Alligator mississippiensis: one gene and its partners. The main gene of each other region encodes a partner of the protein of the gene in region 4 in a complex. Links are inferred from orthologs where the notes say so. Each region holds a gene or a part of one and is shown on either strand. Other genes may lie near its edges. The genes, in order: THOC6, THOC3, THOC5 and THOC2.

Region 1 (7,646 bases), on a different chromosome or scaffold from region 4:
GTAGCAAGACACTGTGGGATATTCCAGTGATCAGCCATGATGGGGACCCAAGGCATTGTGGAATATTCCCGCAGTCAGCCATGCCTGGGTCCTAGGACGTTATGGGGTACCTTGCCCAACCTTGTTAGGGTATATCACTGTAGGCAGCCATGCTTGCAAGCAAAGCATTCTGGGATACCCTGCTTTGGCCACCACAGCTAAACCCAAGGCACTATGGGATACCCTCGCTCCAAAGGTCTCCCCTGCCCTCTCACCATCCAATCGGAGTCTGTCGCCAGGCAACGGATCCACTTCCCATACTGGGGCCGGCTGCACTCCTGGGGGTGGGGGAAGAGGCAGAGAAGGCCAGGTCAGAGCCTGGACACCTGGGTTCCCCAGCAGGGGTGCTGGCAGCCCGGATGTCTGGGTTCTCACCTCATACTTGTGCACCTCGATGGCTTGTACCTGCCCCCCGGTGCGGAGATCTGCGGGGTGGTGGGGAGTGGGTGTCACGAGCCCTGCAGGGTCTCAGCAAAGGCGGGGCAGGGGTGGGGAAAGGGGCGGGACTTACCCCAGTGACGGACAGACCCGTCCTCGCTGCCCGAGAGGCACTCGTGGAACTGGTCCCTCAGTGCCAGGCAGTGGATGTAGTCGGTGTGGCCCCGCAGGGCATGCTGGGAAGGTGGGGGAGAGCGGGTGAGCGGGACGGGATCTAGGGATGGATGGATAGGTGGGTCTAGGGGTGGATGGATGAGTCTAGTTACAGATGGATTGGTGGAGAAATGTAATGACAGATAGATGAAGAAACAGATGGGAGAGCCTATGGATGGATGGATGGGGAGATCTAGCGACAGATAAATGTAGAGGCGAACGTATACGGGGAGAGATGAAGAACGGACAAACAGACAAGATTAGCGATGGGTGGAAAGAAGGAAAGAGGGATGAAGAAGTCTGGTGATATGCGGATGGGTGGACAGATGGAGAGGGTCTAGTGAGGGATGGAAGGACAGACGGAGAAATCCAGCGATGAACGCACGAAGAAATGGATGGAAAAGTCTAGTGGTGAGCGGATGGAGACAGGAATGAATAGAGAGATCTAGTGACAGACTGGATGGACGAACAGCGAACAGATGGAGGAGGCCAGTGATGGGCGGATGGATGAAGCCGGGTGGCAAGCAAGTAGATGGAATGGGGAGGGTGTAGTGCGGGATGGATGAGTCTGGAGATGCAGGACTCTAGTGACAGACGAAAGGATGGATGGACGGAGAAGTATGGTGATATGAACAAAGAAGTCCAACAGTAGACACGCGCACAGAAAGAGGGAAAGGCCTAGCGATGGACGGAGGTCTGTGGGGATGGACGGAGGGATGAACGGATGGCCGAGAGCCCTGCCCCCACTCACGGTGAAGACCCCTGTCTCCAGGTCCATGGCGTGCACGGTGCAGTCGCCCCCAGCCAGCAGAAGGCTGTTATCCTGTTGGAGAAGAGGAGACACAGGCAGGAGGGGGCGGGGCTTGGAGGCTAGCCCCTCCCCCTGGCTATCCCACAATGCCCAGGGCCACACTCACCTTGAGGTTCAACTGCAGGCTGTTGATTTCAGGCACCTCCAGGCTACTCCTGGAAGCAAATGTGGGGAAAGAAGGGGTGTGGCCACATGGGGAGGCCATGCCCTCTTGCTCTCTTCCCACTGGCCAATGTGAAGCCGCTCCCACTTGGGGTGGGGCTTACCTATAAGGGGGCCGGCGGCTCCATGCTTCCTTGCAGCCCTGGGGGGACACGTGGAGGGGGATGAAGCGCAGGGGACCCGGGCATCAGGGGCGGGGCTAGGGGCGGGGCTTACCTTCTTAACGATCTCCGCCCAGTTCCAGGCCTTGAGTTCCCCGTCGCTGGCGCTGAGGAGCTGCCGGTCCGTGGAGGTCAGCGCGTAGACGGGACCATCGTGGGCTGCGGGGCGGGAGGGGCAGGCCCAGGGCATTGTGGGAAGGCCCAGGTTGGCACAAGCAGCCCCGGGGCATTGTGGGGAGGAGCCGGGTTGGCGTGAGCAGCCCCGGGGCATTGTGGGGAGCCGCTCCCCTCACACCCACCTGTGAAACACACCACCGGCTTCTTGCTCTCCTCTTTGGCCTCCGCGCTCAGCGCCGCCGACAGGCTGGGGGGGCACAGGGCAGTTAGGGGAGCTGGGGGGCGTGCCCGCGGGGCGGGCTGGGGGCAGGTTGGGGTACCTGAAGATGCCGATCTCCCCGTAGCTGTTGCCGGCTGCCAGGTACTTCCCGCAGGGCGAGACGCTCTGGGAGAAGACGCTCATGTGGAGCAGCTCCAAGGCCCGCTGGACGTCCATCTGGGGGGCAGCACGGCATGATGGGAAGGCGGGGGAGGGAGGAGGGGAGCTAGGCATGCTGGGAGATGCCCGGGCTGGCCAGGTGCGGAGCAAGGGAGGCTGGGAAAGCCTCAGGTTGGCATGGGGGGGGCACAAGGCATGCTGGGAGACCCCAGGGTTGGCAGGACAGGGAGCAAAGCATGCTGGGAGGGTGCATGCTGGGTTCACACCTCCCAGGGCTTGGCAGGACCCGCGCGGTGCATGCTGGGAGCCGCCCCGGGCGCCCCCACGCTCTTTGTCGCTCACCTCCTGGGGCGCCATAAGCGTGCCGCCGCGTCGCGCCTCTATGACGTTATCCGCGCGACGCCGGCGCCAGATTGGGTCCCCTCCCCCTTCGCCTACTCCCAGCAGGCCGCGCGACCCTGACGTCAGAAGGAAGGGAAGAAGGGGGGGACCCTGGAGGCGCAGCGTGGGGAACGGAACCCGGTAAGGCCCCACCTCACCCCTCCCGGCTTCAGGCCCCGACAGCACGAAATAAGACCCGCGAGTGCCCAGTGCGCATGCGCCCCGCCTCCCCGCCACTTCCCGCGAGCCCAACTGTCATCCCCCCCCGCGAGCAGGCTCACGGTCCCGGGGCTCTGCGCATGAGCCCGGCGGGAGTGGTTCCCCCTCCTTTTCCACCACCTGCCTTCGCCTCTGCGCACGCGCAGAACGGAACTTCACCTGCTGCCCGACTGTTCTGCGCATGCTCGCTCTGTGCTCTGCGGTAGGCCCTGCCCCTTGTCACTTGGCCACACCCCTTTTGTCCTCAGCACCCCTGCACTTCATTCTCTCTCCAGCCAGAGGATCATGGGAGGGCTTAGGCTTGGTCTGAACTGCCCCAGGGCATCATGGGAAGCTTCCAGTTGGTGTGGCTCAGCCCCGGGGGTTCATGGGAGCGCCTGGGCTTGGCCTGAGTGGCCCCAGGGCATCATGGGAAGTCAGGAGTTGGCATGATTCAGCTCCAGAGGCGCCCCAACCACAATGCATGATGGGAGTTCCTTGGCCTGACTCTCTTTTCCCTCCTCCAATCAGGTAATGCCCCCCCGATGGACCCCCCGGCCCTGCCCCAACCCCGCTGCTGGAGCCAGGAAGTCCCCGCCCGCATGCCCTGGGCGGGGCGGGCCCCAGTGGTGGTGAGCTTCTCCGCCGCGGCACTGCCCCGCCGACCCACGCCCCGCCCTGCTGCCCTGGCCTGCAAGCGGCGCCTCGAGAAGCAGGAGCCGTGAGTATGGGGGGGAGCAAGGCACTGTGGGAAGGCGGGAGCGAAGCATGCTGGGAGCCTTCACCTGCCCTCCCGCCTTTGTCACCACAGGGAGCCAACCCGGAAGCACTTCCTGTCGGAGGACAAGATGGCCGCTCGCTTCAACACCCTCAGCCTGGACCACGACCACGCCTACGGCAGCAACGGCTTCCCGTCCCGCTGGCCCCGCCCCCTGCCGCGTGGGTGAGAGGCCCCCCAGGTGTTGCCCCAGACTCAGCTGCATCACAGGGCGGGGGGAAGGGGGCACGGGGCAGGACAGAGATGCCCCTTTGTTCCGCTCGGCTGTCACACCCCAGGCACAGCCGCATCCCATATACGTAGGGAGAAGGGAGATCTCCATTCACCTGGGCTGTTAGTCTCCAGACTCAGCTGCATGTCATGGGGGGAGGGGGGGGCAGGGAAAGAGTTCTCTGTTCCATTTGGCCGCTTCACGCCAGACTCAACTGCACCTCATTTACATAGGGTGAGGGAAGGAAGATCTTTATTCGTTCCCCTGGGCCATGCCACCCCAGACTCAGCCACATCCTATACAAAAAGGGGAGGGGGTGGTAGATTCCTATCTGTCCACTTGGCTGTTACACCCCAGACTGAGTTGCATCCCATTTCCATTGGGTGAGGGGAGATCTCTGTTTGTTCCCCTGGGCCATTACACCCCAGACTTATTTGCATCCTAAAGAGGAAGAGGAGGGGAAGCTCGATCCCCATTCGTTCCACTTGGCTGTCACACCCCAGCTGCAGCTGCATCTCACGTAGTGGGGGGAGAGGGGTTAGGAAAAGAGTTCTCTAGTTGTTCCTCGTGGCGGTTATGCCCGACTCAGCCTATAGCTAGAGTGAGGGCAGATCTCTGTTTGTTCTCCTGGGCTGTTACACCCCAGACTCAGCTGCATCCTGTAGAGGAAGAGGGGGAGCTAGATCCCCATTCATTCCACTTGGCCATCACGCCCCAGACTCAGCTGCATCTCGCATACCGGGGCTGGGAGAAGAGGTCTCTGTTCATTACGCTTGGCCATGACACACCAGACTCAGCCGCATCTCCCCCCCCACTCCAGGCCCCAGGATGCCACCCTGGAGGAGGAAGAGGAGACTGTGATCCTAGACGGGGAGTTCCCCATGGCCCTGTGAGTACCTACCTCCAGCTGGAGGGTTTAATTACCCCTCTCCCCCCTTACTGCCCCAGAACCTCCTAATCTGCTGCCCTGCTCCCCCCCCCCCACAGGACCACAGAGGCGGTGCTATGGAGCCCCCCCAGCAGCCAGGACCCCCGCGGCATCTGGGCCCTGCTCCAGGCCGGGGCTTTGACCCCCAAAGCTACAGCGCTGTGAGCTTCCTCCAGACAGTGCTGTGGAGGTGGGGGGGTATGTACAGCATCGGGCATGGCATGGGGGAAATTATGTTAGCCAATCGGAGGCCTTGGGGGTGGGGGGTGGGGAGGAGAAATGGGCGCAAATTGGGAATAAAGATGGTTTTAATTGAATTGAGGGAAACGGAGGCACAGAGCATGTACACGGGAGGGAACCCAGGCCCCACTCCCCTCCCAGGGAACCCAGGCGTCCGGCCCAGGAGCAGAGGGAGGGGCTTGTAGGTGAGACATAGGCCAAAGCCAAGTATAGAGTGAGCCTTGAGTGACCTAGAACCCATGGTAGAAACACCTAGAACATCATAGTGAGCCACCAAGAGAGAGATGCGACCCAGAGGCTTACGGGAGGGAGAGTGTGGTAGGCCAAACCCAGGCCTAGCGTACAGGCACTGAAGCCAAAGCCAGGCCTAGAGTGGGCATTGAGTGACCTAGAACCCATGGTGGACCTAGAACATTGGTATGGGAAAGAGACCCAGAGGCACTGGCAGGCCAAAGCCAGGCCTAGAGTGAGGGCAGTGAGCCCACGGGTTAGGCCGAAGTGAACCTTCAGCGCCCCAGCTCCCGGCTCCTATCGGCTCCCTGGCCTGTCAGCTGCGACGGAAGAAGGACAGGAAGTGGCCGCCATGGGGGGCGCTGTTGCCGCGGCGCACAGGGGGCGGGGCCCCGGCCTCCTGCTGCCACTGGGCCTGGAGCTGCCGGTGAATCACAAACTGCATGTCGTCCTGGGGGGGAGGGGCCACAGTGGGTGGGGACCCAGGCATCCAAGCCCCCCCTTCCCCATGCCCCACCTAAGGGTGCCCCCCTCCTGCCTGGGGAGGTAGCCCAGGCCTCCGGGTGCCCCTGAGACCCCCAGGAAAGGCCCGCGGGACACGCACGATTTACCTGCCAGGCCTCCAGCTCCCGGGACAGCGCCCACTTCTGGTGGGCGGCAGCCAGGACCTGGCGGCTCAGGGCATCGCGCTCCCGCGTCACCCGCTCCAGCGTCTCCGCCAGCACCCCCTGCCTGTGGGGGAGGCGAAGAGGGTGGGGAACACAGGTGTCTGGGCTCCTAAATCCCCTAGTCCCCCCCCCCATTTCCCAGAGAACCCAGGCATCTGGCCTCCCAGCCCCCCCTGCTCGCACTCCCCACCCTAAAGAACCTGGGTGTCCAGGCTCCCAAACCCCCTAGTTCTCCTACGTGCACTGCAGAGAACCCACGTGTCCAGGCTCCCAGCCCCCCTGCTCCCACCACGGAAAACCCAGCTGTCTGGCTCCCAAACCACTAGTCCCACCCCAGAGAACCAGGTGTCTGTGGGGGGCGGGGCCAGACCTGTCGATGGCAGTGTTGCGTTGGGCCAGTGCCTGCCTCAGTGCCGCATCCCCGTCCCTCTCCTGCAGGAGGCGCCGCTGTGCCCCCAGCTCCTCCCGTACCGCCTGCAGCACCCCCTGCTGCACAGCCAGCTGGGACGGGAGGAGGTGGAGTCAGCCAGGGGCGGGGGTGGGGCCAGGGCCAGTCTTACCCTCCCCCTCCTGGCCCTGTTCCCCCCACCCAGATGTCCATGACACCGCCTACCTTCCCCACACCCCCCCCACCTCATCTTGGAGCCGCTCGATCTCCACTTCCTTCTCCTCCAGTGCATCCTGGGGCAGCGCCTCAGACCTGTCCCGTGCCGGAGCCTGTGGGGGTACAGCGAGGGGGCGGGGCTAGAACCTGGCGGCCTCGTGGGATTGGCCTGATGGAGGCCAAAACCCTCCCAACATTGGCTGAGCCAAAGGACAAGGTTGGCTGGGTGGGTTCTAGGTACATCAAGGCCAGGTGACTCTGGGTAGGTGGGTTCTAGGTCCCTCAAAGCCTAAAGGCCCAATGGTGGGAGTGTTCTAGGTCCCTTGAGGCTAAAGGACCCAGCGGTGGGTGGGTTCTAGGTCCCTCAAAGCTTAGAAAACTCAATCCTTGACGGGTTCTAGGCTCTTCAAGACTCAGAAACCCCAATTTGGGGGGGTTCTAGGTTCACCAAGGCCTAAAGGCCCAATGGCAAATGGGTTCCATCAACACCTAAAGAGCCAATGGTGAGAGGATGTTAGGTCTTTCCTGGCCAAAAACCCGATGGGCAGAAGGTTCTGGGTCGCACAAGGCTAAAAGACCCAATGGTGGTCAGGTTCTAGGTCCCAAACCCCACCCTTGGCCTTGTCCCTGCACCTTGGGATGCTCGGGGCCCTGGGTCCCCTCCAGCTCGGCCTTCAGGGAGACGCCATTATCGGCTGACTGGAACTGCAGCTCCTCGGAGACAGCCCGGATTCGGCGCCGGAGCCGTCGGTTTGCCCCACGCAGCTCCTCCGCCTCTGCCCTCAATGATTCAGCCTATGGGGAGGGTCAAGGTAGAGGGGGTGGGTTCTAGGTTCCTTCAGGGCACCAGACCCCAAGTAACCTGTATTCCACCCCAGAATGGGTGGGTTGTAGGTCAAGGCATAATGACTTTTTGATGGCTACCGAGACAAAAGGGAGTGGGTTCTAGGTTCTCCAGTCCCAACAGACATCAAGTCACCTGTGTTCAACCTCAGGACAGGTGGGTTCTAGGTTCCTGAAGGCTAATGGTTTCCCAGATAATCTCTGTTTAACCCCCATAAGGCATATGTTCTAGGTCCATGAAGGCTGATGCCCTTTGGCTGCTACCCAGATCAAGGGCATTGGGTTCTAAGTTTCACAACCACAG
Region 2 (7,988 bases), on a different chromosome or scaffold from region 4:
GGGAAGAGGAGGCTGCAGGCAGCTCTGAACCTGGGCATGCTTATCCCTCTGCTGTTGTGCAGGTCAGCATCACCCCCCCGGTGCCACTGGCCCCTTCCCCTGCCCCACCCGTCGCTGGGCCAGCCTCGCTGGGAGTGGTGTGGGGGCCGGGCAGCGCTCACCTCTGGCTCCGCAGTGGGATGTTCAGCACAGAGGGGAAGATGGCGTCAGCGATCTTGCGGGCGCTGCAGTTGGGTGAGCGGTCCACCTCCACCGCGATGGACAGCAGCCGCTGCAGCAGTAGCACCACCCTACACCAGGGATGTCAGTCAGGCGGGCAGGGAGGGGCAGCTGTGGGGTCCTGTGCCCCCCTCCCCTAGAGCCTGGGGGTGAAGCCGACACTACCCTGACCTGCATTGGCTGCGGGGGGCACGGCCCAGCATCCAGGAGCCTCGGCTCTGTCCTGTGAGAAGCCGCTGCCGTGCCTGGCACCGCTGGAGGTACAACCAGGGCCTGAGGGCTGGGGGAGACCCTTCCTGCTTGGAGGGGAGGCTCAGATGAGCTTGTGCCCTCCCTGCCCTGGGCTGCCAGCCACAACTGACCCCCAGCCACACTGGGTTCCCCTCTGGGGCTGGGCAGGCTCCCCGCTGCACCAGGGCCCCTTCTGTCTGGGGGCGGGGGCTGCAGTGTCCGTAAAGATAACAGCCCCTGGGGCAGCCTGAGATGCCTCCAAGCTCCCACCGGCGTAACACCCCCACCCCAAAGAGCCCAGCCTGCCCCATCTTACTTCTCAGCCAGGAACTCCGGCGGGACATCCTCCCTCGGCTCCGTGGGGCTCGGCGTGGGTGAGCGGCTGCTGTGCTGGAGCCCGGAGGCACCCGAGGCGGGAGGCGCTGCGTTCTGCTGCTCCAGGGGTCTGCAGAATCCGACGCCGGTGACGGCAGCCACCAGCCACCCGATCACCTCCCTGCGGGGGCACGGCTCAGAGCGATTTGTAGGTGGCCACATGGGCTGCTCCTGTGAGCTGGGGGTCCAGCGCTGTGTGGGTTCCCCCATGCCCAGCAGTGCCCTGCCAAGCAGCTGCTTGGATAACCTGCTCTGGCTGGCCTGCAAGGCATGTCTTCCAGCTGGGTTGTGGTTGATTTCTCCCCCCCACTCCGAACTCCTGTGTAGGGATCCCTGCACCCCAAGCTCTCGCTCTCGGCCCGCAGGAGGTGCCGGCCTATGCTTGCAGCACCCAGCCCAGTGCGTGGGGGCTCCTTACTTGATGTTGCCGAAGCTCTGGTCGCAGGACAGCACCTGCTTGGCGATGGTCAAGGAGGGGCGCTGCAGCCGCAGGCCCAGCTGGACATCGTCCTCCAGTGTCTGCACCACGTACTGCAGGAACAGCAGGCGCCCGGGAGGCTTCTCCTGAGGGGGATGGGACAGTGGGATTGGGGGCCTGCCCAGGGCACCAGCGTGGCTGCACCCCGCCGCCCTGCCCTGCCCCGCCCCGCCCCGTGGATGCAGGACGCAGCCACGCTCTGCCTGTCCTCCCGCCGGCCAGCTGCTTCCCCTCCCCAGCAAGAGCCCAGCCCTGGAGGGAAGGGATGCTGGGCCCTACCTCGTCTTCCATGATGTGTCTGAGTAGCCGCCAGTCCCAGCCCATGCCCGTCGTGGTGCTGGCCGGATGGAGCCTAAAGCAGAGGGTGAGTCCGTGACGGCCCCGAGCTGCGTGGGGGAGCACAGAGCTACCTCTGCGCCTGCCCCCTCTCTGCTTCCCTGGGGCTGTGCAGATGGCCTGGCTGTGGGAGGGCATGGATGCTGCCAGCTCCTGACGCAGCAGAGCCTTGGAAATACTCTTCCCCGAACAGGGCTGCAGCACAGGCTCGAGGCAGCTGCAGCGTCTCTTCCCCCAACGGCAGCCCCTTTCGGGGAGCCCGGACGGCCCCATCCCGGACCCTGGTGCCGGACGTATACCTAGGCTCTGCCTACACACGTGGTTGCTGGACGGGACTCCTGGCCATTGGAGCCCCCTTGCTGCTGGCTCCTATTGCCAATGGCCTGGGGGCCCCTGCTAAGGACACCTCCCTTCCCTGGGAGCGGCAAGTGCCGGGGGCTCCTGGACCAGCCGGGAGCCGAGGGCAGCAATGTCACATACGTCTGGATCTTCATGAGCAGCGTGTAGGCATCCTTGAGGATCCCCCAGCGGTGCGGGCCCAGCAGGATCTCCTGGACCAGGTGGGCCGTGATCTTGCAGGGCGGGTAGTGCTGGGGCGTCACGAAGTCAGTCAGGAACTGCAGCGTGCCCTCAGGGAAGCTCTCCTCCATCGTGGTCTGCACCAGGTCCAGCTTCCGGCTCGGGATGGGCCACGTCCTCTGCCGGGACAGCGAGCCCTTGGTGTGGGGCAGGGAGCGGGGTGGGAATGGGGATAAGGGCAGCCGGGGATGGAGAGAACCCGGATCCTGGACACCCCCCCCCCCCCATTACCTCCTGGCAGCGCTCGGCCCTGGCCACGCGCAGGAGGTGGTGCACGGGCATCCTCCGGAAGTACCGCAGCTTGTGCAGGCAGCTGGGGTCGGCCAGGCGCGGGGCGGGGGGCGCCGCGGGCTCCTGCTTCACGGCTGCCAGCGCGGGCGGGCTCGCTTCCAGCCGCGGCCGCTTCCTGGAGGGGCTCTTTGAGGTGGTAGCGGGGAGGGAGCGGGGGGGCGGGGAGCCGGGGTCCACGGATGCCCCCCAGCTGTCGCTGCTGGAGGGGGAGAGGGAGAAGCGGTTGGACTCGAGCAGGGGGCTGGCCAGGGAGCCCAGGTCGCTGTTGAAGGTGGTGGGGCTGCAGTCCGAGTCCGTGGAGCAGGCAGCTGTCTTCGCTTCATCCTTGGCGGCGGTGGAGAAGCCGGGCAGGGCCTCGGTCTCCATCCCGGCAGGTGGCGTCTGCACGGGGGCGCGCGCTGGGCTGGGCGGCTCCTCGTCTTCCCCGGTCAGGTCGATGACAACACTTCCGCCGCACGCTGCGGCCCCGCCGCACGCGTCCTCGCCCGTCAGGTCGATGATCTCCTGGGGAGGGAACGGGGTCAGTCGGGGCGGGGGGCCGCACGCCGCGCCCCCGCAGGGTCCTCCCGCCGGCTCGTGCCCAGGCTCTGTCCAACCCGCCCGTCCGCGCTGCTGCCACCTGCCTCGGCGCGGCGCCGGAGCCGGCTGTGCTGAGGGGTCGCGGCCTCGCCGCCCGCTGGAATCCCCGACGTTTGAAAGTGGCTTCAGAACCGAGGCGCCAACCGCCTTCCGCGGCCGCGCCCTGTCCCCGTCCCTGCAGCACGGCGTGGTGCGGCCGTCCCCAGCGCCCCCGGCCCCAGCCCGGTCGTGCCCCGCAGGGGCGGCACCGGCACCAGCGCCCGCGCCCCGCCCCCGAGCCTCGCACCTGCCGGGCAGCGCGCACGCACGTGCCGACGGGCAGCGCTGCCGCCAGGGGGCGCCGCAGCCGCGCACTACGCGGGGCCTGGCCCCTCGCGGCCCCCGTCGGAAGCGCCGCCATCTTTAGGACTGGCACACTTCCTGGGGCGCGGCTGAGAGGCCACCGCGGCCGCCGCCGCCGTGCCCGGACCGGGACTCACCGAGGGGCGCGGGCGCCGCAGCCGCCGCCGCCGGGCCCAGAGCCGCTTGCTGCGGCGCAGCGGGGCGCGGCCGCCCTCCGAGTCCGAGTCGCTGAGCAGGACGGGGCCTTCCGCCATCCCCGCACGCCCCGCGCCCGCGCCCAGGCCGCGCAGTCGAGCGCCGAGCGCGTCCTCCGCCGGGCACCGCCCCCCCGGCACAGCCCCCGCCCCCGGCATCGCCGCACCGCCGGGGGGTGGGAAAAGAGAGTATTTGGGAAGGAAAGGGAAATTTGAGGGGTGTTTGGGGGGAAGGGGGAGTTTCGGGGGTGTTTGGGGTAAAGGAGTTTGGAAGGGAGTTGGGGGGAAAGGGGGTGTTTGGGGGCAAACGGGGAGTTTGGGGGGAGTTTGGCGGGGGGAGGAGGGTGTTTGGGGGGAAAAGGGGAGTTTGAGGGTGTTTGTGGGGGGAGGGGGGTGTTTGGGGCGGGGGTCTCAGCGGGCCCTGTGGAAGAGCCCCTTGAAGCGAGGCTGGTGCCGGGCGGTGGGAGCGGGCTGCGGCGCCGCCCCGCTCGTGCGGCCTGAAGCAGCGGCGGGCTCGCGGGAGGGAGAGCGCAGGAGCTGCGGCAGCAGGACCCTGGCCCGGGCCCTCCGTGGATCTCCTCTACTGACCTCCTGGGCTGCCCGGGAGCCATCGGAGCGGTGCCGGCGGCTGCGCGCAGCCCCACCGAGCTGGCTGGTTGGTGGTGCAGGCCCCGCGCGGGGCTGCGCCCCCCCTCCGCCGCCAGCGCCGCGCCCCCCAGCACTAACCACAGCCCCTTCCTCGCGGGCCCTGCAGCAGCTGCAGGCAGAGGAAAGCGGCTGTAACCGCCTCGCACAGGAACAGCTCGGCTCGGGGCCAGGCCGCTCGTGGGCCCCCGCTCGCAGTGGGGAAGGGGCCTCGTGCCGCTCGGCGTGGCCCGGCCTACAATAACGCTCGTATCTTCACCCCGTGTGGACCTGCGATCAGTAATAATGAACGTGCTCAAAATGTGGGGTCATTTTTGGGACAGGTCGTTGACGTGGCACGTGCGAAACCCAAGCCGCTCGCGGGGGGTCTTAACCGACCTTTGGGTTTGCTGCCAGCCCTTTCTCAGGACCCCTTGCCTCGAAATAAAGAAATGCTTCAACTTTGACCCAGTTCGCACTGGCTCCTGGAGACCTCTATGAGCAGTGGGAAGTAAACTAGATTTATTTACATGCTTGTCCACCTGTTTGCTCAGTGAGGGTAGTTTTTCAGCAAATAGGATAATTTTGAGCTTCTGTATTTAAGGCCTGGCAACGCTGCTGCTCCTTCCTCCAGTGGCCGGGGGCCCTGGGGTGCGCGGCAGGCAGGGTGGGGGGTCCCTGCACCTAATCCCCATAGACATCCAGGGCACCCGCTGCAGCGCAGCCTCCCCCAGCGCCCCCAGGTCCGGCGGGGGGATCCGGACACTTCCCCCGTGCAGCCTGCGCGGCTCCCCGGGTCGGACGCTTGCAAGGAGGCAGACGAGGGTCTTTGGGTAGGTGTGAGATCTTTTATGAGTGCAATTAAATGGTTGGAAAAGTTGTTCTTGGCAAGCTTCCGGGCACACCCGCCCTTCTCGGGGCACGGGCATCGCGGGGAAGGAGCTTTTATTTCCTTGGGCTCTGCCGGGCGTCCCGTCCTCGAGCTGGGAGCCATGTGCGGGGCGGAACCGGAAGTCGCCGCACGACTCCCGCCATTTCCCTTGGAAGTGGGTAGTGGGCGACCCGGAAGCGGGCAGGTGGGCGGCGCCCCGGAAGCGGTGCGGGTGACCCGGAAGCGGTGGCGGCCGCCATGGCGCTGTCCCCGTACGTGCTGGCGATGCAGGAGCTGTTCCGCGCCAACACGCGCAGCCGCGAGTTCCCGGCGCACGGCGCCAAGGTGCACTCGGTGGCCTGGAGCTGCTGCGGCCGCCGCCTCGCGTCCGGCTCCTTCGACAAGACGGCCAGCGTCTTCGTGCTGGAGAAGGACCGGCTGGTGCGGGGTGCAAGGGCGGGGCGGGGGGTGCGATGCAATGCGTGATGCGGATGTTGGGGTGAGCGGTGCGGTTGGGTACGGGGGTGCTGGGGCGGGGGCGGGGCGGATCCTGGTGCAGGGATGGGGGAGATGGTCCTTTTTAAGCATCCCTCCGTGGTCAGCGATTTCTGAGGGTCTCTAACGGGCTGGGGTGTCTTGGCTGGACGCTGCTGGTTCGTGTTTGAGACGTTCGTTGGCAGTCGTTGCACGTGGCCAAGCGCCAGCCTCACGCCACGGTGAAGGAGCGTGGCTGACCTGGAGGCGCGGGCCTGGCTGATGCCCGGCGTGGTCACCTCCCTCTAGGTGAAGGAGAACAATTACCGCGGCCATGGGGACAGCGTGGATCAGCTGTGCTGGCACCCCAGCAACCCGGACCTCTTTGTCACTGCGTCGGGGGACAAGACCATCCGTATCTGGGACGTCCGCACCACCAAGTGCATCGCCACGGTGAACACCAAAGGTGGGGCGCGGTCGGAGCACGCCTCTGCGGGGCCCAGCGTGAAGCAGAAAGCTCTGCAGGACGCTGCTCCAGCCTGAGCCGGAGGGCGGCCAAACGCAATCAGTGCTCCAGGCCGTCTCTCCTCTCCTCCCCTCCCCTCGTGTTTATCTGCGCCGGGTGCTGGTCTTCCATGGGGCTGGGCCGGGTTGAGCTGCATGGGCGCTAGTCAAACGGCAGACTATTTAGCATTGTTGCTGCCCTCGCGTGGCTGTAGGCACCGGGGATCCACGCTGTGGGAGATGAGTCTCTATCATCTGCTCATGTTTCTGATGCAGCTTTTTTCCCATGGCTGAAGCATATACAGAGGGTATCCGCGTGCGTATGCCTAAACCCTGGAAAAATGTTGCGTATGCATTTTTTTTCTTGCAAATATCACGAAGCGCTAAGCAACGTGCCAGCATCCCCGTGGCTGTGCAGAGAGGGCCGGGCTGGGCTGGCTGAGCGCTCGGAAGTACTTATTGTGGGCACTTTGCTCTGAGGCCAGAGTTCTGTTGGATCTAGTTCCCGTGACACACTTACCAGGCAGCACTAAGCAGCAGTAGTGGGTTTGCAGTGTAAACTTGGCTTCGGCCACATGAGAGCAGTTCGGAGTTGGTAGGGCAGGCGTGAGGCCCCCTGCGCTGCCCTAGCTCCTGGTTGGACTTGCCGCACTCTCCTCCCTTCCAGGGGAGAACATCAACATCTGCTGGAGCCCCGACGGCCAGACCATAGCGGTGGGGAACAAGGACGACGTGGTCACCTTCATCGACGCCAAGACCCACCGCTCCAAGGCTGAGGAGCAGTTCAAGTTTGAGGTGAACGAGATCTCTTGGAACAATGACAACAACATGTTCTTCCTGACCAACGGCAACGGCTGCATCAACATCCTCAGGTATGGCCCTGGCACAGCTTCCACCTTCCCCGGTCACAGGTAGATCCTCTAGTGCCCCTCAGCAGGAGCCCTCGGGCTCGCTGTCCTTGCATGGTTCCCTCCCCTGCGGCTGTGGCATCCTCACTGAACGAGGGAGCCTGGTTCCTGGTGGTATTGACCCCCAGCTGCTCGAGCCTGTGTGGCCTCACTGTGCTGACCAGGGTGCCCCTCTGCAGGCAGCACTTGCTGGCCCGTCCCCTGGACTCTGGACCCTGCTCACTTAAGCTGTGTCTTCCCTATCTGTGCACAGCTACCCAGAGCTGAAGCCCATCCAGTCCATCAATGCCCATCCTTCTAACTGCATCTGCATCAAATTTGACCCCATGGGGAAGTACTTTGCCACAGGAAGCGCAGACGCTCTCGTCAGCCTGTGGGATGTGGACGAGCTGGTGTGTGTGAGGTGCTTTTCCAGGTAGGTGCCCAGGCCCTGTGCCCGCTCTCTGCCCTCCCAGTACAGAGGTGGGAGAGCCCTCACCCCCCGTCTCATCCCCTCCCCTGCAGGCTGGACTGGCCCGTGAGAACACTGAGCTTCAGCCACGATGGGAAGATGCTGGCATCTGCCTCTGAGGATCACTTCATTGACATAGCGGAAGTGGAGACGGGTGAGTGTTCTTGCTCCCTCGGCCCTCTGAGGTGGCTGGCTCTTGTCATGGCTTAGGGCAGTGGTTCTCAGCCTTGTTAGATTTAAAGCCCTGCTTGGAAAATGCCCGCTCTGAGCTTTTTGACCATAGACAAAACAGAAGAGCAATCCTTTTGGTGCAAAGACCAGAGCAGGGCAGAATGGTTTTGACACTGGTTGCTGTTTTGAAATCTCTGGGTTTATCTTGGGAATCGCGTGTGCGTATCTAGCAGTGCTAACATGGCATGGCACCCATAAAAAGATCTCAAGGCACCCCAGATTGCTGTGCCACTCTGGTTGAGAGTCACTGGCTTTGGAGACTGGGGGTAGGAGGGAGGGGATTGGCAGGGCTGGGGACTGG
Region 3 (7,757 bases), on a different chromosome or scaffold from region 4:
AAAAGCCCTGTAAGAGCCAGGTTTTACTATTTTCTCAGAACTATTGTACATCAGGCTGTCAAGATAGCAGCCTCTTGACTTTAATTGCATTCAGGATATGAAGAAGGTGCGGTTTCTCTGCAATTCACTGTAGTTATGAGAGCACCCGATTCACTGAAATGGAATTCCCTTGTATGCCTAACTCAAGGACCACTAAATCTAGTCCAGCTTTTGGCAAGATACTGGGCAATGATGACCACCATCACCCACTCATCCACCCACACACACAATCCCTGAGAGGCAGGGATTACCCATATTCCTTGAGCATTTCACCATCCACTTCTGCATTTCTTTCACAGCCTGTGGCCTTCAGCATACCTCATGGGTTTGATCTCTCCCCTTCTTCAGCCGGATGTGAGCCAAACGGTTGAGTTTCTTCAGAGTCATGAAATGCACACAGCTCTGGATCCGCCGCTCCTCAATCTCAGCAGCCTGAAGGGCAAGAGCGGGGAGTCTGATGTGGACAAAGTTCCTTGCTAGCAGCTCTTGTAAGTAACTAGCCACTGCAGAGCTAGTTGGTTATTGTGCTAGTTAGAAGAACCTAAAGCAAGCAGGGAGCTACAGAGATGAATCTTACAGGAAAAACACTGGTAACAATCCCCTGAGCTTCTGCCAGGCCCCCTCTCCTTCCCAGTCTCAATGTTCAAGTGTTAGAAATAAATAGAGGTCCTCCTCATTGTGTCCATTCCTTAGTCCACAATTCTCCATGCATGTAAGACAGAACTCAGTCCCACTAGAGGGCCCTGGGTGCTGCTTTAATGAGAGCTTTCAGTAATTGAATCCCTAATTCAGAGACAGTTTTACACTCTAGTTCAATAAAACAGGTTGGTCTAAGATTCCCTGAAGGCCAGATGTAGACACACAACCTTACACCATCGTAAGTCACACTACTGTGTGGAAAAGTTATTCCTCACTTTCCAAGGGGTAACTGATGCAAGTTACAAGAGCTGTGTGTGTCTGTAGGAAACTACACACACTTCTCCAGTTCTCAATTTCATTGCAAGGTAGCATTTGCTCTAATTTGACCTGAGCCACTTAGTGACTGACAGCGTAATCATACCTACTAACCTGGGAGACCTGGTCATGTGTCCACTACTTAATAAGGTATAAATATCCTATGGAATAAAATCTGGGACAAGTGACTCCATTGCAACTGCCTACAATCACAGATATCACTCAGTGACTTTTGCACCTCCTTTCTGTTGTCAGGTTAACAGCTGTTGCTATATTTAGGACAAGAATCAGAACAGGCACAACATGGGTAGTTACCACATGAGGGGAGCACAAGGGGCCTGCAGCCTTCATACCGCCTTCCTAGCCGCATTGCCACAAACAGAAGCAGTCAGCCACCTGGGATATTCCCTGTCTAGGAGGAACCAGAGCAAAATGCACCTATTTGTTTTACACAGGAATTCAAAGCATCAGAGAGCAGTAAACAGTGCTGGATTCATATGGTTAAAACTTTCTGTCCTAACTACAATGAATTATTCAATCTTTCCATTTTAGTGTTTTGTTGTGAGCAAGCATTTCACCAGCACAGTACTCCAGAGGTCTCTCCTTACACTGTCTTTGCTGCCTTTACTCTTCAGATCCTGGATTTCTGCCATGAGCCTCTGAAGCTCCTCGCAAGTTTGCTTGTAGAGTTCATAGTCTTTGCCAGGGTCTCTTAGATCCACCTCTGTCTCTTCACTATAGTACTTAACATCCTGTAAAACAGCAAGAAAATAGGTTTCAACTGGATTCCCTTCCCTTCTCAGAAAGAGTCCTGCAGAAATCACATTGTGGGCCTTATGTTTAGCCTCACTCCATCCACTCCAGAATCCAAATGCTTTATGCACCAGTGACCCAACCGCTAGTGCTGCAAACTCCACGGGAGATCCAAGCCTGGCAAATCCATGCCTCACCCATAATCCCATTAAAATTAGCATCTGATCTGCACAGGTCCTAGTTAGGCAATCAAACAACTAAGGAAGAGGGGAGGGAAGGGAAGAGAAGAGCAACAAATAAAACATTTGTAAAAGGTTCAGAGATGCTTGCCAGAGAGATATGAAAGCAACAAACAGAGTCAAACAACTGTGAGAAGACTGCTGAGGACTGAACTGCCTGGACATAGATTCACAGAAGTTTAGGGCTGGAAGGGACCTCGTGAGATCATCGGGTCCCGCTCTGGGCAGGAAAGACTGCTGGGCTCAAACCACCCCAGCAAGGAGTGTGTCCAGTCTCCTTTGGCAGGTAAAAGGCACAGTCTGCCCAGCACAAAACAAAGGCTTTGGAGGGGAAGGGCTGACAAGCTGAAGATGGCAAGTGCATCAGGAAGACCCAGCACCGCATCCAGGAGGGTTTGATACGAACTGAACTCTGTACGTGGTGCAAGCGGCAGTCACTCCAGAGCAGGGCCCCGCCACGTCCAGCAAGCTGGTGCCCCGCTCCGCGCAACCCCACTGCTTTTCAAAACCGACAGATGCCTGCTACTGCCCCGCCAAGGCCGCTCCCAGCACCAGCTGCAGTGCGGCAGCCCCTGCCCCGCGGCAAAGGGCCGGTCACCCCGCACCCAAGCAAGCTCAGGCTGCTCGTCCCGGCGCAGGGGCCGCAGGCTGGCCCGGATCCGACGTGCTGGGGGCGGAGAGGCCCCGCCCCGCAGTACCTGCTCGGCGTCCGCCTTGCTGCGCTTGCCGTCGGGCGCGGCGCCGTCCGTGCGGATCACCTTGGGCTTCCGCTTCTTACTCGAGTCCGACGACATCTGCGGGCGGGAGGAAGCGTCAGCGGCCGCCGCTCACCGAGCCCCGCCCCCACGCACCGGGCCCCGGCGGAGTGCGGCTCCACGGCCGGCGGGGAAGGGGGGAGGGGCGGCGCCGCAGCGCGCTCACCTGCGTCCCGGCCACCGCTCCAACCGGAAGTGGCTGTGCAGGAGCAGACGAGGCACACGCTAGAGCGGCCGCCCGGGCAGCCGGCAGTTGAAGGAGGGAGCGCCCCCTACTACCCTGCGCCGACGCGGTCTCCCCTGGGGAGCGTCACCGCCCGCGCCGCGATCGCCCGCGTCTGGGCCAGGCCCCTTCAGCGCGGGGTCCTAGCGCCGGGCACGGGCACACGGCCGCGAGCTCCCGCAGCCCCGCGCAGCGCTGGGGGAGGCCCGGTGAGCTGCCTCCCGTCACCCCCGTGCCCCCCAAAGGGTGTGGGGCTGCTGGGTTCGCCCTGGCTTCGCCTCCGCCCCCAGGGCCTCAGCTTGCCTGTCTGTGAAATGGGCCTAATGCCTCCGTCCACTGCAACTATGAGGCTTTGCTCCCCTCAGCACGTCCGGGAGTGAAGGAAGGGGCAGGACGCGGGCCCTTCCCACTCTCAACCTGGCAGATGACCCTACTGGGCAAGGCCTCCTCCCCCCACCTTGCCAACTGCTGGCATCTTTGCTCAGAAGTCGGATTGAGGCATCTGGGGCAACACTGCTGCCAGCTGGGCCACCATCTTCTCATGCTTGACACTGCTGGCCTGTGCCTGGCGGGGTATGGAGAAGGGCAACACCAGCAGCCATTCCCCAGGGCTGCCCATTGCCCTGCCCCTCTTGCAACAAGTCTTATCCTTTGAAATTCCTGCTGCCCAGCTCGGTCTCCCTGGGCCTTACCTCTTCCTGTCCCTAAGCAATCACGCCTCCTCCAGTAATGGCCCGTCACTAAAAGCTAGTGTTGTCTCATGAGCACACAGCACTGCTCCATGTACTGGGTGTTGAGCACACCTGGTCTCATGCCTGTCCAGCGTTGGCTCTGGGGGAGCTGGTACCTGGACTGGGGCCTTCACCTGAAGCCCACACAGGTAGTAGGGTCTGGTTGCCAGTTTTCAGGGGCTTAGGCCAAGCTGCAGAACTGGGGCTAAGCAGAAGTCCCCAAACCCTGTTTTCTGTGGGACTAACGTAAACCTTTTCAGCTATGACAACTAGCTTGGTCAGCAAAGTAAAAGGAAACCATCAACATCAATGAAACAAAGCACGAGGCCTGAAAAGAGAGGTTATAAGGGAAGACCATGAATTAAATAATCCACATATAGTATCATAGCTTTATCTTAAAATAGTAGTAGTAGTGATTGATGTAACCAAATGTATTAGATGCTATTTTGCTATAATAGATATATTTTTGTTAAGGTGCTTAGATAATTTGTAAAAACAAAACAGCATTGTCAGAGGAGACTATAAGCTGAAGTAAAAACGGAATAGTGTTGAACACCATTCCATAATGGGGAAGGAAAGAGGTAAGAAACCCCATCTTTTACTTTCCCAAGGATATGAATCCCAGTTGGCACTTCCAAGTCCACAAGAGATCTGGTTCAGTTCAGTTCCAAAGTTTCAGTAAAACAGATTTAAAACCAAATCAAAGGTCATTTTTTGCAATATTAGATCCAGCCATCTACACACACACACACACTTTTTTTTTTAAAGGAAAATTATTCGTGTCTGAGGTCAAATTAGCCAGATCACGTTCAATCCTTTTGAATCATCCAGAAACTGTATGTGGCCCTGCTACTGGCAAATATCCTCCACTCCAGCCTGGGGCTTCAGAAACTTCCAAATCCTTTGGTAGGCGTCCTACATGCAGGCCCAAGCCCGGACTTGGGGTTCGGATGCCCCCAAGTTTAGTTTGCCCTCAGCCATATGGCTGTAGGAGCAAGCTAGGGTGGAGTTTCCCATTTCCATAAAGTTGTCGTGTAGCCGAGATCCTCCCACTGGAAGCTGGCCAGTGGGAAGCTAACTATGAGGCTCTCGTAGGGAGTCCCATCTGCAAGCAGACAAGGGTTCACCCTCCACTACACAAAGCCATTTCTAAGGCAGCTGCTTGGTCAGGGTACTGTCCCCTGCCACCTTAGTGCTCATGGTATTTCCCCTGCCAGGTAAGTAAATATGGGGGTCTAGGCTGGAGGGAAATATAGAGAACTCAGCACATTCAAGACCTGCTGCCAATCTGTGTGCTGCCCTCCCACCTCTAGAGTCACAGGTGACCAAATAGACTTTGGGTTAAATGTTTGTTTTTGTATTTTGAAGTAAAAGCAAATAAAAGGTCAGCTGTAGACCTGTTTCTGTCTCTTATATCAGTAACCAGCCTGCAAGGTTACCTGTAACGTGTAACACACTCTTGTAGAGACGGCAGTCATGCTGGGGGCCTAAGAAGTTGTTTGAGCTGATCTTGTTACTTCTTGGTAATAAAGACAAGCCAAGTCTGGATTCTACCAGCTGCCATAACTGAACCTGTAGAGCAAACTGATAAAGGCCTGAAAGGCCCCACCCAACAGAGGTACATGAGACTCCTTCCAAATGCAAGACTGATGTTAGCATATTAAATATTTAATTACATTTGCAATTAGACTTGTACAAGTTCCTTCCAGGAAAATGCTTGACACAAAATAAATGCCCGTAACTTGCCCATTAGTTGCAATTACCATAAACGTGCTAGAGGAACTGACATCTGTCTGATAGGCGCCTCTTGAATGACAGCTGCCTCTCCATGTGTTCCAACTCCCCTTGCTCACTCACATAGACATATAAATGCCCAGGGAGCAAGGGCATTTGCTCCCAGTACCAGTGATTGCACTGAGATACAGACCCTCAAATTCACCTCCACTGCAGTCCAGTGGAAGATGCAGCACTGGCAGGCAGGCATTCAGGGGCTTTCATTTCCAATGCAAATGAATTTTTTACTGCTTTGTGGTTGAATACCATTAGTCCAAGTTACACAATTATTGTTACTACTGGCTATCAACACCACATGTTCCTTTCAGGTTCGTGCTTTGTCTTTTCCAGCCAGAGTCAGTTCTGCTGACACAGCCCAGCTTGTATCTTTCATTTCTACTGAGCTTATGCAGTTCTGGGAGGCAGGTGCTAATGTTAGCTAATCTCTGATCAGCTGCATGGATGATATGAGGGGAAGAGGAACTCTGCTTCATTTTAATTCCTGAATTAAAGGCTTGATTCTGGTGGGTGTCTAGCACTCCCAGCTCCCCTTGAGCTCATAAAAAGGTGTGTTCAGCACCTTAGGAAGGCAGAAGGGGGAAAATTAAGTATTCCAGCACCCCCTCCCTTCTTAGTTAGAATCAGGCTGAGGCTGAGTAGCAGGATAGAAATATATGTACTGTTAAGGTCCGTCTATTAAGTCTAGGAGCCACTGAGAATTAGGGTTGGATGTAGAATACAGCATCATTTCCAGAGAATCTTTTCAACCTACACCTGCTCTGCAGATGAAGGAGATAGCTCAAGGGGACGGATGGCCTCATCATTAGACAGGAGAGATTCCTTCTCCCCATACAAGCTTGCCCATGCTTCCACCAGAGCAGAATGCCAGGGTATCTTGCTCGGGGGCAGGCTTCTTGCCTGCAGCAGGCTAGCCAAGGGTGGAAAGTCATGGTGGCAGACACAAAGAGGAAGCATGATAGAGGATCACTCCCAGAGGCAAGGAAGAGATTATTCCCTCTCTGTGGTGGAAGGGGGTGGGGTGGAATGACTTGCTGGAGGGTTGGGCAGAAGGACTGAACCCAGTCTCTTCACCCAGAGAGCAGCTGGGTATCCATATCATGCCTTCTGCAGGTGGCATAGATCAGCTATGCTCATTTCTATCTGCAAAAGGGGAATTTGGGCTCCAGAACATTCATTTGTTCACAGCTGGGGACCCAGAGCTGGGGAGCAACGTGCAGCCATGTGCTAGCATGACCCACAGCTCCCAGCAGACAGAAGCAGCCCAAGGCCTGGACTACATTGCAGCTCTCCTGGAAGAGCCATGAGTGCATCCACACTCCTAGCTCTCCTGTGATGGCAGGAGTCATTAGCTCTGCAACCAAAGGCAAGCAACTGCTACCACAGGAAAGTTGTCAGGAAGTGGGTGTAGAGTTGTCTGCACTTTGTCATCTGCTGCAGCCCTGTTAACAACTGATCCTGCCCAGGGTACTCTGGGTGTCCTGCTGGCACAGCTGCTGCCATGGAGCTATATGTAGTCACATGAAGCTGCATGGGTGAGAACATGCTCTGGTGGCTGCTATCTACCAGCAGAGTTTGTAATGCAACCAAGCCCCAAGACCAGGCAGGTGTATGGACTAAGGGGATAGGTAGTGCCAAGAGGAAGAGAGAAGCCTGCTCCTTTAGGAGAAGTGCAGAGAGATCCCAACAGGCCATGTGCTCTTGTCCATTTGAATCCAGTGCTGGAGGGAGAACACGCAGGGGCAGGGTGGAGGGTCACTGGAGGGGAGAGATCTTCAGGGGAATCATGATTCGAGACTCCATGTTCCGAACAAGGGGCACTGAAAAAAAAAATCACAAAAAGCAACTATCAATGTACATGACAGCCCTGGGCACAGGGCATTTTCTACCAACTACCCACAAGTAACTAGTGAGCTCAGAGCTATTCCAGTCTGTCCCACTAGCAGGCACTGAAAAATCATTTATATGCGACACATTCACTCTGGTCCCAGTCTCTGCCAGGAGATGAAGAACAGTGCTGATTACAGAGGTGGTAGTGGCTGTCACATCAACTGAGTACCCGATCTCTGGCAAAGAGCAGTTAATGCTTAACACTTCATAGGAAGGTATAAATTCTGAACCACAGAATTGCTTTCTGATCCTAGCTGGAAACTGGCTTTGGCCCAGGGATGTGGGAGTTAAAACTTGTGGCTACTTGGCGCCCACCACCAGCTACGCAAAAGAACAAGGCCCACCTGTGTAATACACATTCTCATCCCAGCCCCGTTTCCTC
Region 4 (7,936 bases):
ACGCTAAATAGCGACAATCCACAGATACGTCCAGAATTGTTATCATCAGTTACCTGATGTCAGTGCTAAAGTTAATATTACTTTTCTTTAAAATATACAAAATTTATAGGTGATTATATAGTTCAAAACAGTTTACAGGTGCTGCATTTTGGAGCGTATTAGAACGCTCCATTGTCACATTTGGCATTTTTGCTTATCAAAACAAGTTAAAAACAAAAGTTTTTGTAGCTGTAGAAGCTAAGATAATGTTATAAGAGCCATCAACATATAAGTTCTAGATCTAGAGCATAACAGATCCCTACCCTTTTATTCAATGTTATATATGAGAAAGCACCAACCCCCACTCAGTTTCAAAGAATAACTAACTGACTACTACCTCCTTGCTAGAAGTTATGGAAAGCAAGCAAAGAGACAGAATCAACAAGAAGTGGTCACAGTCAAAACACTAAGCAAGACGAACTGTTCACCCTGCTTCAGTTTAGCAATTAAGGTCACCAATTTACAGCATATGAAGTAACATATTTAGATAACTAATAACTTCACTAACATACCATTTCAAACTGATTTTGTCAGACTTCATATGCTACCCTACAGACAAGCAATTAAAATTGTCCTGTCTACCCTCAGCTTTTCTTCCTGTTGACCAACTCTTGGTCATCTTGTTCATTTCTGGTTTTTCGTTAAGTAAAGGCTGATATTTTGCATTTCTTGTGAGAGGTCTCATCATGTTTAAATACAGAATTCCAAACTGCTTGGAAACTAAAAGCCTCCTCTTAAAAAAATAAACTAAAGATCTGTCACTTAACTTTACCTGCTAGAATTGTAAGGTTAATCCTTGTTATACCTCTCTCTTTTTCCTACCGTTACACAATTTAATTTAATTCAGTCAGTGGTTCCCGAATGTTTTGAACCATCATATTGACCCTCAAAATTTCACATGCCATCCACCCTTTACGAGCAAACTTTTAACTGAAAAGAGAGCAAAAGCAGTGCAGTGCAATTTAGGAGCCTTAAATTTAAGCTGCAAGCTCTTTTAAAGCTGAAATCATGTCTTCAAATAGAAATAAAATAGAACTGCATTTGGAAAACTGATTGAGTTACTAATCCTTCATCTCTAGTATTATTTTATTTTGGAGTGTCAACACATTCAATAATTAATTTTGTTAGCAGAGGTGGTAAATCAGTGTTTCAAAATGATAGCAGTTTCTGAAATCACTTGGTAAAGACTTTAAACAAAACCAGACTTTTTCATTGTTCACTGAATCTTCACAAATATTTGATTGTCTTTTTTCACTTTAAAAAAAGTTTTACACACGTTTAAAACACTGGATGAAACTATGTTGTACAACCTCATTACCCAAGCACACAGATAATCAGAGATCACTTTCAGTTTAAGGGGTCTTTTTTAAAGGAGTCCTTAAACACAGTTGCCAAACAAAATTTAAACACAGTTTAAACGCTGTCCCAGTTAAACTGGTATATCATCGTGAATGGACCAAAATCTTGTATACATGTTATCTGCAAGTACCAAGGGTTAGGTTAGAGTACATTTTAAAAAGTTAAGACAAACTAGTGTGTGTTAAACAAATGGCCTACAATTTGAGCTCTTCAGTAGGCAAAGGCCGGGCTAACCTGATCTCTTCAACAGCAACTGCTGAAAATTCAACTGATGCACAATCTTAAAATAATTATAATGAAGATATGATCACGTCAAGTCAGTTAGCTCAATATCGAGTCATATGAAACAGCTCCTAACTCAAATGGATGACTTAAAGCAGCAGTTCCCAATGTGTGGTACATAGCAGACAACCCGTCAGCGGTACATGTTAACAGATGTACTATAATTACTTCATATTTTAACATGCATTTTTTATATATGGTACGCATTAAGAGATGTACTATAATTACTTCATATTTTAACATGCATTTTTTATATATGGTACGCATTAAGAGATGTACTATAATTACTTCATATTTACTTCATATTATAACATGCGTTTTTATCTATATGGTACGCATTAAGAGATGTACTATAATTATATCATAATATGTATTTTATAGAAATACGACGAAACTTTGCTTGTGGTACTTAAGGTCGAACTGAAAAATGTGCTGGGTGGTACTTAAGGTTGTATTGTTTTAAATCGGTGGTGTGCTGTCAGAGTTTGGGAACAGCAGATTTAAAGTGTAAGTATATCTACATCTACGCTTTTTATGCAACCAGGTGGGCTATACCCATTCGTAAGCATCTCTCTATCCACTTTTCTCCTCCACCGACAGCAGAACATAAGCGATCTGTAACAAAAGGGCCGCAAACCTATCTACCCCAGGACATAATCCGGCTCAATCTGATTATGAATTCAGCTGTCAAGACGTAATCCAAAACAGGGGAAGCTAAAAAGTAATTTGAACTTTAGCGTCGCTTTAGACTCCGAGTGCTGCCAGAGACCTACGATTTCTCCCTCGTCTAGTTTTTTGGTCTCCCCAAAACAAAAAAAGTTTGGACGGGACCAGGACTCGCACAATGCAGGGACCTGACGACCAGGCTACTCCTCCCCCCTCCAAAATGGAGGCAGGGCGAGCCAGCCGCGCCCCCTTCCCCTCACCTGGGGGGCAGGCGGGGGCGGGCAGAGAAGCAAGCCGGGGGCGAGGGGGAAGGGGGGCAAGGGGCTTCCTAAAAAGAGCCGCGCGCGTTTGGCCGCGAGCGTCTGGTCCGGGTGGTGACACCAGGGGGCTGCTCAGAAACACAATGAAACGCAGCTGCGATATCCGGGCGCCCCCGCCCCGCGCAGCTCCGCTGGCCTCGGCACAAGGGCAGAGGCCGCTGCCGGGGAGGGGCGGAGAGGAGCCGGGGAGCCCGGCCGCGCAGGGGAGGCAGCGGCCCGCACTCACAACTCGCTCTTGCCCGCTTTCTCCCAGTTCTTTATCCAGTCGGCAGGGAGCGCCGCCGCCGCCGCCGCCATCTTCCCCGTGTGGCGCCGAGAGCCCGGATGGGCAGCGACGGCCGGGGTCAGAGGCCGGCCGCGGGGCACGCCGGGAAGCGCGCGCGGGGCACGCCGGGAGCCGCCGCTCCCGCCTCCCCGCCAATGCCGCGGGTTCGAGCCCCGCGCTCGTGCCGTGGTGTTCCCGCCTCCGAAGTGCGGCCGAGATGCGAGTGACGGCGGCGTCTTTTCAGTTGGATGCTATGATCTTTCCAGCGGGGGGAGGGGGGATTTTTCTTCAAGAGGAAAAATAGAGGCGTCCGGTTTCTCTTGACGAGAAAAGCAGAGTTTGTACAGGCGTCCGGTTTCGGATCAACGGACTAGCTTGACGGCCGCCCGGGCTTGTCGTGACCCGTGGTGGCCTAGGCTCGCGGGCTGCTTGACCAGGATGGCGGCTCTGGCCAGAGGCCCCCTGGGGACGGGGGGGCGTTTTCTTGTCCCTGGTCAGCTCCAGCCGGTTTCCCCGGGCCGCGTCCGCCGGCTCCTCGGGGTCGCTTGCAAGGTGGCCGGCGTGCGCCTTCCCACTGCCCAGCCCTTCGGGGCACCCCTTCTGAGCCATCGACCTCCTTCCCCTCCCTCTTTTGTCTGTTCATCCCATTCATTCAATTAACACTACCCAATAGCCCCCCTACTAATGGGGAAGGTTAATTAGCCCATGGGCGACTGGTGCCACCTTAGTTAGGGGGCAAGTGCCCCCCCAGGGACCAGTCAGCAATGGGGGGGAGTCCTCCCACGGCCAATCTCACCAATGGGGGGGTCCCCCACGGCCGATCACACTGACCAGGAAGCGGCCACAGCGCTCCCACTCCCGAGCTGGCGCCCGCAGGGGGAGCACCAACGCTCCCGCCTGCCCCGCTTGCCTGTCACCTACACCGAGAGTGCAGCCGGTCAGGGGATGCACCCCTACACATCGCCACCGGATTAACCGCTGCTGTGTGGGCCCGTGTTCCCAATCGAATGACTTGCGGCAACCCCCACTTCACACTTTCGCTTAGTGCTATTTCACTATAATGTTCATTTTAAATTGATACCTGATTTCACTTAGCACTCAGTGAGTTTCGTTATAATGCTCACGGTCACCATCTCGGGTCATTAAAAACAATTGTGGTCGTGGGTCATCAAATACGTTCGGTTTCGCTTAACGCTTGGTTTTTCGGGAACCAATAAACAGCGCTAAGCGGAGGTTGCCTGTAATGACTGTTTTGCAAATTATAAAGACTCATGGTGGAAGTCCTGTTGCAAACGTAGCGCCCTGAAGGACAAGACAAGATCTGAGCATTAAACAATAAACTTTTAGCTTTGTTTTTTTGAGGTTTGATTTTTAAATCTCAGTCACTCCCAGGGAAAACACATGGAAGTGGTAAATATTAATCAGCAATGTTGCCTGTGCTTCTCTTTATTGCACTAGGAGCTCTTTGCATTCCTTACATGTGCTGTCACTGCTGATTTTAGATATGACTTGCCAAAAATAGGATTGGTCATGTACGCCATTGATTTGTGCCTGAAAAATTAGAAATCAATTTGGTGAACAGAAAAAACGTCACTTTCAGATTTTTTCAGCTGCATTTTACAAAAGTGTCCTGAAGTTGACAGTAATGCTGAACATTAGGAAATTCTTGTTTATGCAAAACTTGTCAATTATTTATTACTAGTGGATGTGCCAGTTTTTTAAAAAGCTGAACTAAATGCATACATTTCAAGCTTATTTTTATGTGGCCACTTTCATGATTTCTTACACAATTCTTTTTCTAATGCAGTATAACCTATGTACTTTCACTGAAATCCTTGCACAATCATGGAACGATGACCTGACTGGAATAACAGAGACTTGGTGGAAGCGCGCATGACTGGAGCACTGTCACGAATGGGTACAAACCGTTCAGGAAGGACAGGCAGGGGAGAAGAGGAGGAGGAGTTGCGTTTTGTATAAAAGAACTGTATGATTTCTCAGAGCTCCGGTATGAAACTGAAGTTAGGCCTGTTGAAAGTCTCTGGGTTAGGGACAGAAGGAAGAGCAACAAGGATGATGTCACGTTGGGTATCTGCTATAGATCACCTGACAAGGAGGATGAAATGCATGAGACTTGCTTCAAACAGCTAGCGGAAGTTTCCCAATCACAGACCCTGGTTCTTATGGGGGACTTCAATTACTCCGACACCTGCTGGGAGTGCGTACAGCAGTGCGCAGGCAATTCAGGAAGTTTTTGGAGAGTGTTGAGGACAATATCCAGGTGCAAGTGCAGAAGAGGCCAACTAGGGGCTATGCTCTTCTTGACCTACTGCTCACAAACACAGAAAAATTGGTGAGGGATGTAGAAGTAAATGTCAATTTGGGCAGCAGCAACCACGAGATGACTGAGTTGAGGATCCTGAGGAAAGGAAGGAAGGAGATTAGCAGTGTATGGACCCTGGACTTCAAAAAAGCAGACTTTGACTCACTTCAGGAACTAATGGGCAGGATCCCTGGGAGGCCAGTCTGATGGGGAAAGGAGTCCAAGAGAGTTGGTTGTACTTTAAAGAAACCTGAAGGAACCCAATGCGCAGGAAGGACTAGCAAGCATGGCAAAAGAACAGCTTGGCTTAGCAGGGAACTCTTCAGTGAGCTAAAACACAAAAAGAAAGCTTACAAGGAGTGGGAACTTGGACAAACAACTAGGGAGGAGTATAAGAGTATTGCTTGGGTATGCAAGGATGAAAACAGGAAGGCCAACGTGCAATTGGAGTTGCAGCTAGCAAGGGACGTGAAGGGTAACAAGAAGGGTTTCTACAAGTATGTCAGCAACAAGAGGAAGATCAGGGAAACTGTGGGTCCCTTAATGACTGAGGCAGATGATGTGGAAAAGGCTGAAGTACTTAATATCTTTTTTACCTCTGTCTTTATAGACAAGATCAGCTCCCAGACTGCTGCACCTGGTAACAAAGTTTGAGGAGAAGGTGAGCACCCAACAGTGGTGAAAGAACAAGTTAGGGACTAATCAGAAAAGCTGGACTTGTACAAGACCATGGGGCTGGACGCGATGCACACAAGGGTGCCGAGGGAGCTGGTTGATACGATTGTAGAGCCACTGGCCATCATCTTAGAAAACTCATGATGATTGGGAGAGGTCCCAGACAATTAAAAGAAGGCAAATATAGTACCCATCTTTAAGAAAGGGCAGAAGGAGAATCTGGGGAACTACAGACCAGTCAGCCTCACCTCAGTCCATGGGCGCCTGGTGCCTTCTGAGTTGGGGGGGCACTTACCACCCCCAGTGGACAGTCAGCAATCGGGGGGGAGGGGTCCCTTGCTGCCAAACGGGGGAGGGTTTCTCCTGTGGCCAGAACAAGTGAAAAGGGCAAACCGCACTTTAAAAATTGGCTCTAAGAAAAGTAGTAAGCCAACAAGACAAAGATTGACAAAGATTAGGGCTTTGCAACAAAAACAACAGTTGCCCATGAAATCACTCCCTACTAAGCCATGACTGGCAGAAAAAAATGCAGATGCCCAAGCTTTAAAGGTAAAATGTAATCAGATGGACAGACAATTTGGGCCACTTGAAAACCTGTCAAATGGAAAGTTGGTGCCCTGGTCATGTACCAGGCTTACTGGGGGAAAAAACCATGTATTGTGCTCCATCAGGGCTGGACCTGCCATAATTGTAAATAAGGCTAGTCCTACTGTATATCAAATTAAAATACAGTCAAAGAGAAAGGAAATCAAATTGAAATGGGTCCACACATCACAATCAAAGGCTTGAAAACGGGGCAAAACCCTAATAATTATAACCAGATGTTAAGTGAGGCATCTGCCCTGGCAGTTTCTTAATTTTGTTTTGCAGGCTAAAATGCATTTCCCATGTAACATTACACAAAAGGAAAAATCCATGGCCTTCCAACAATTGAGTTAGTAAAATGCTTGTTATACTGTGCAAAGGGGAAAAAAACAAAAAAACCCCTGGGCAAGATGTGTTAGTAAGTACAGGTGCTTCTTTTCCTATAAGTAATGAGACCTCCCCTTTCCAATTCTGGAAGGCAAATATAGTATTAAAGGATTCAATGAGAAGGAAACCAAAATGCCTTTACCAAACCAAGACATTTATTTTTACAGGGAAGCAAAAAATAATTAATCTACATGTAATTCTTCAGGGGCAACAGTGTGCAGCCTTTAAAATAAATCAGGTTTTGGAGTTGCCTTGGGACTGAACAGGGGATGTTAAAAAATGTTAGCCAGCCAGCACCCAAAGGGGTAGGCTAAAAATAAGCTGAAATGTGGGAACAGTTGCCCGATCAATACTAAACTGCAGTTATACCCTATGTAGATGATGTTTTAATTCATGGACCCATGCAAGAATTTATGAAGTCATCTGTGCACTATTATAAATTATTCAAGATACAGGATTTAAAGTTAACAGACAAAAAACCTCAACTAGTACAGCAGGGGGTAATATATTCAGGAATCAATGGCACGGTCGAACTCCAGGTGCCTAGTGGGTAGAAGTGATTGAAAAATTGCCAGCTCCCACATTCATTAAGGGCTGCTGGTACCCTAGCTATAAGCTATCTAGCCTATCATTGGATGTTTGGGATAAAAAATGGCAAAAAGTAAAATTATTAAATGGCTAGCTTTAATTGAAGGCTACAATAACTTCCCTATCAAAGGGGGGAGCTCTTTGTTTTATGTTTCTTTATAGGAAGGCTGATGAACTGTGAGGCCTCGAAACCAACCCTGAGGAGGGAATCGGGAAGCAGGGCTTAATGAGCGCAGCCGCAAACCGATCAATTACCGGCAGGGAGCGGCAGCGTGAGAAAAGAAGAAGAGAAAACCAGGGAAAGTCTCAGTAACATGAGGGAGGCTGAGCACAGGCAATACTGACCAGCCCCAGCCAAACCTGGAAGGGTAACCAAAAAAGAGTTGCCCGGGGTTTTACGCTGGCAACAGTGCAAAGAGACTGTAGCTGCACTAGCTAATGAGTTAA

The links.
Region 1: THOC2 (region 4) and THOC6 share a complex: the UniProt entries of both Homo sapiens proteins name them as parts of the transcription/export (TREX) complex. The link is inferred for Alligator mississippiensis from reciprocal best matches to the Homo sapiens genes THOC2 and THOC6.
Region 2: the proteins of THOC2 (region 4) and THOC3 are in contact, whole or in part, in a cryo-EM structure (PDB 7ZNL), measured with the Homo sapiens proteins. The link is inferred for Alligator mississippiensis from reciprocal best matches to the Homo sapiens genes THOC2 and THOC3. Residues at the interface, in NP_001075019.1 of Homo sapiens: Tyr395, Arg396, Pro401, Lys402, Gly403, Ala404, Lys405, Gly406, Ser407, Pro446, Ile447, Ala450, Arg454, Cys500, Asn501, Ala502, Cys503, Met504, Glu506, Pro563, Arg566, Gln567, Lys570, His573, Tyr603, Leu604, Thr605; in NP_115737.1 of Homo sapiens: Asp193, Met196, Ile208, Val217, Gln218, Asn221, Ala222, Pro224, Ser225, Ala244, Asp245, Ala246, Leu247, Ser249, Trp251, Asp252, Asp254, Glu255, Leu256, Val257, Cys258, Val259, Cys261, Ser263, Leu265, Asp266, Pro268.
Region 3: THOC2 (region 4) and THOC5 share a complex: the UniProt entries of both Homo sapiens proteins name them as parts of the transcription/export (TREX) complex. The link is inferred for Alligator mississippiensis from reciprocal best matches to the Homo sapiens genes THOC2 and THOC5.

Annotation. Positions count from the first base shown.
Region 1 is NC_081830.1:644,667-652,312, forward strand, and holds the start of THOC6 (THO complex subunit 6 homolog), read right to left. Parts: upstream 3,001-7,646; 5' UTR 2,923-3,000; intron 2,719-2,922; 5' UTR 2,618-2,718; coding exon 2,603-2,617; intron 2,318-2,602; coding exon 2,202-2,317; intron 2,129-2,201; coding exon 2,064-2,128; intron 1,924-2,063; coding exon 1,820-1,923; intron 1,746-1,819; coding exon 1,708-1,745; intron 1,597-1,707; coding exon 1,548-1,596; intron 1,454-1,547; coding exon 1,382-1,453; intron 654-1,381; coding exon 551-653; intron 465-550; coding exon 415-464; intron 318-414; coding exon 255-317; intron 1-254. Other genes in the region: HCFC1R1 (host cell factor C1 regulator 1), read left to right, coding at 3,385-3,560, 3,651-3,782, 4,649-4,717, 4,816-4,921; BICDL2 (BICD family-like cargo adapter 2), read right to left, coding at 5,544-5,678, 5,839-5,959, 6,266-6,396, 6,529-6,612, 7,133-7,294. UniProt on the Homo sapiens protein: Component of the THO subcomplex of the TREX complex which is thought to couple mRNA transcription, processing and nuclear export, and which specifically associates with spliced mRNA and not with unspliced pre-mRNA.
Region 2 is NC_081832.1:79,133,505-79,141,492, reverse strand, and holds the start of THOC3 (THO complex subunit 3), read left to right. Parts: upstream 1-4,988; 5' UTR 4,989-5,377; coding exon 5,378-5,560; intron 5,561-5,902; coding exon 5,903-6,059; intron 6,060-6,764; coding exon 6,765-6,969; intron 6,970-7,258; coding exon 7,259-7,420; intron 7,421-7,509; coding exon 7,510-7,610; intron 7,611-7,988. Other genes in the region: SIMC1 (SUMO-interacting motif-containing protein 1), read right to left, coding at 162-290, 767-946, 1,244-1,389, 1,583-1,655, 2,120-2,337, 2,450-3,013, 3,568-3,783. UniProt on the Homo sapiens protein: Component of the THO subcomplex of the TREX complex which is thought to couple mRNA transcription, processing and nuclear export, and which specifically associates with spliced mRNA and not with unspliced pre-mRNA.
Region 3 is NC_081833.1:26,651,350-26,659,106, forward strand, and holds the start of THOC5 (THO complex subunit 5 homolog), read right to left. Parts: upstream 3,001-7,757; 5' UTR 2,907-3,000; intron 2,780-2,906; coding exon 2,684-2,779; intron 1,746-2,683; coding exon 1,602-1,745; intron 472-1,601; coding exon 358-471; intron 1-357. Other genes in the region: NIPSNAP1 (protein NipSnap homolog 1), read right to left, coding at 7,241-7,305, 7,720-7,757. UniProt on the Homo sapiens protein: Component of the THO subcomplex of the TREX complex which is thought to couple mRNA transcription, processing and nuclear export, and which specifically associates with spliced mRNA and not with unspliced pre-mRNA.
Region 4 is NC_081831.1:71,266,936-71,274,871, reverse strand, and holds the start of THOC2 (THO complex subunit 2), read right to left. Parts: upstream 3,001-7,936; 5' UTR 2,964-3,000; coding exon 2,893-2,963; intron 1-2,892. UniProt on the Homo sapiens protein: Component of the THO subcomplex of the TREX complex which is thought to couple mRNA transcription, processing and nuclear export, and which specifically associates with spliced mRNA and not with unspliced pre-mRNA.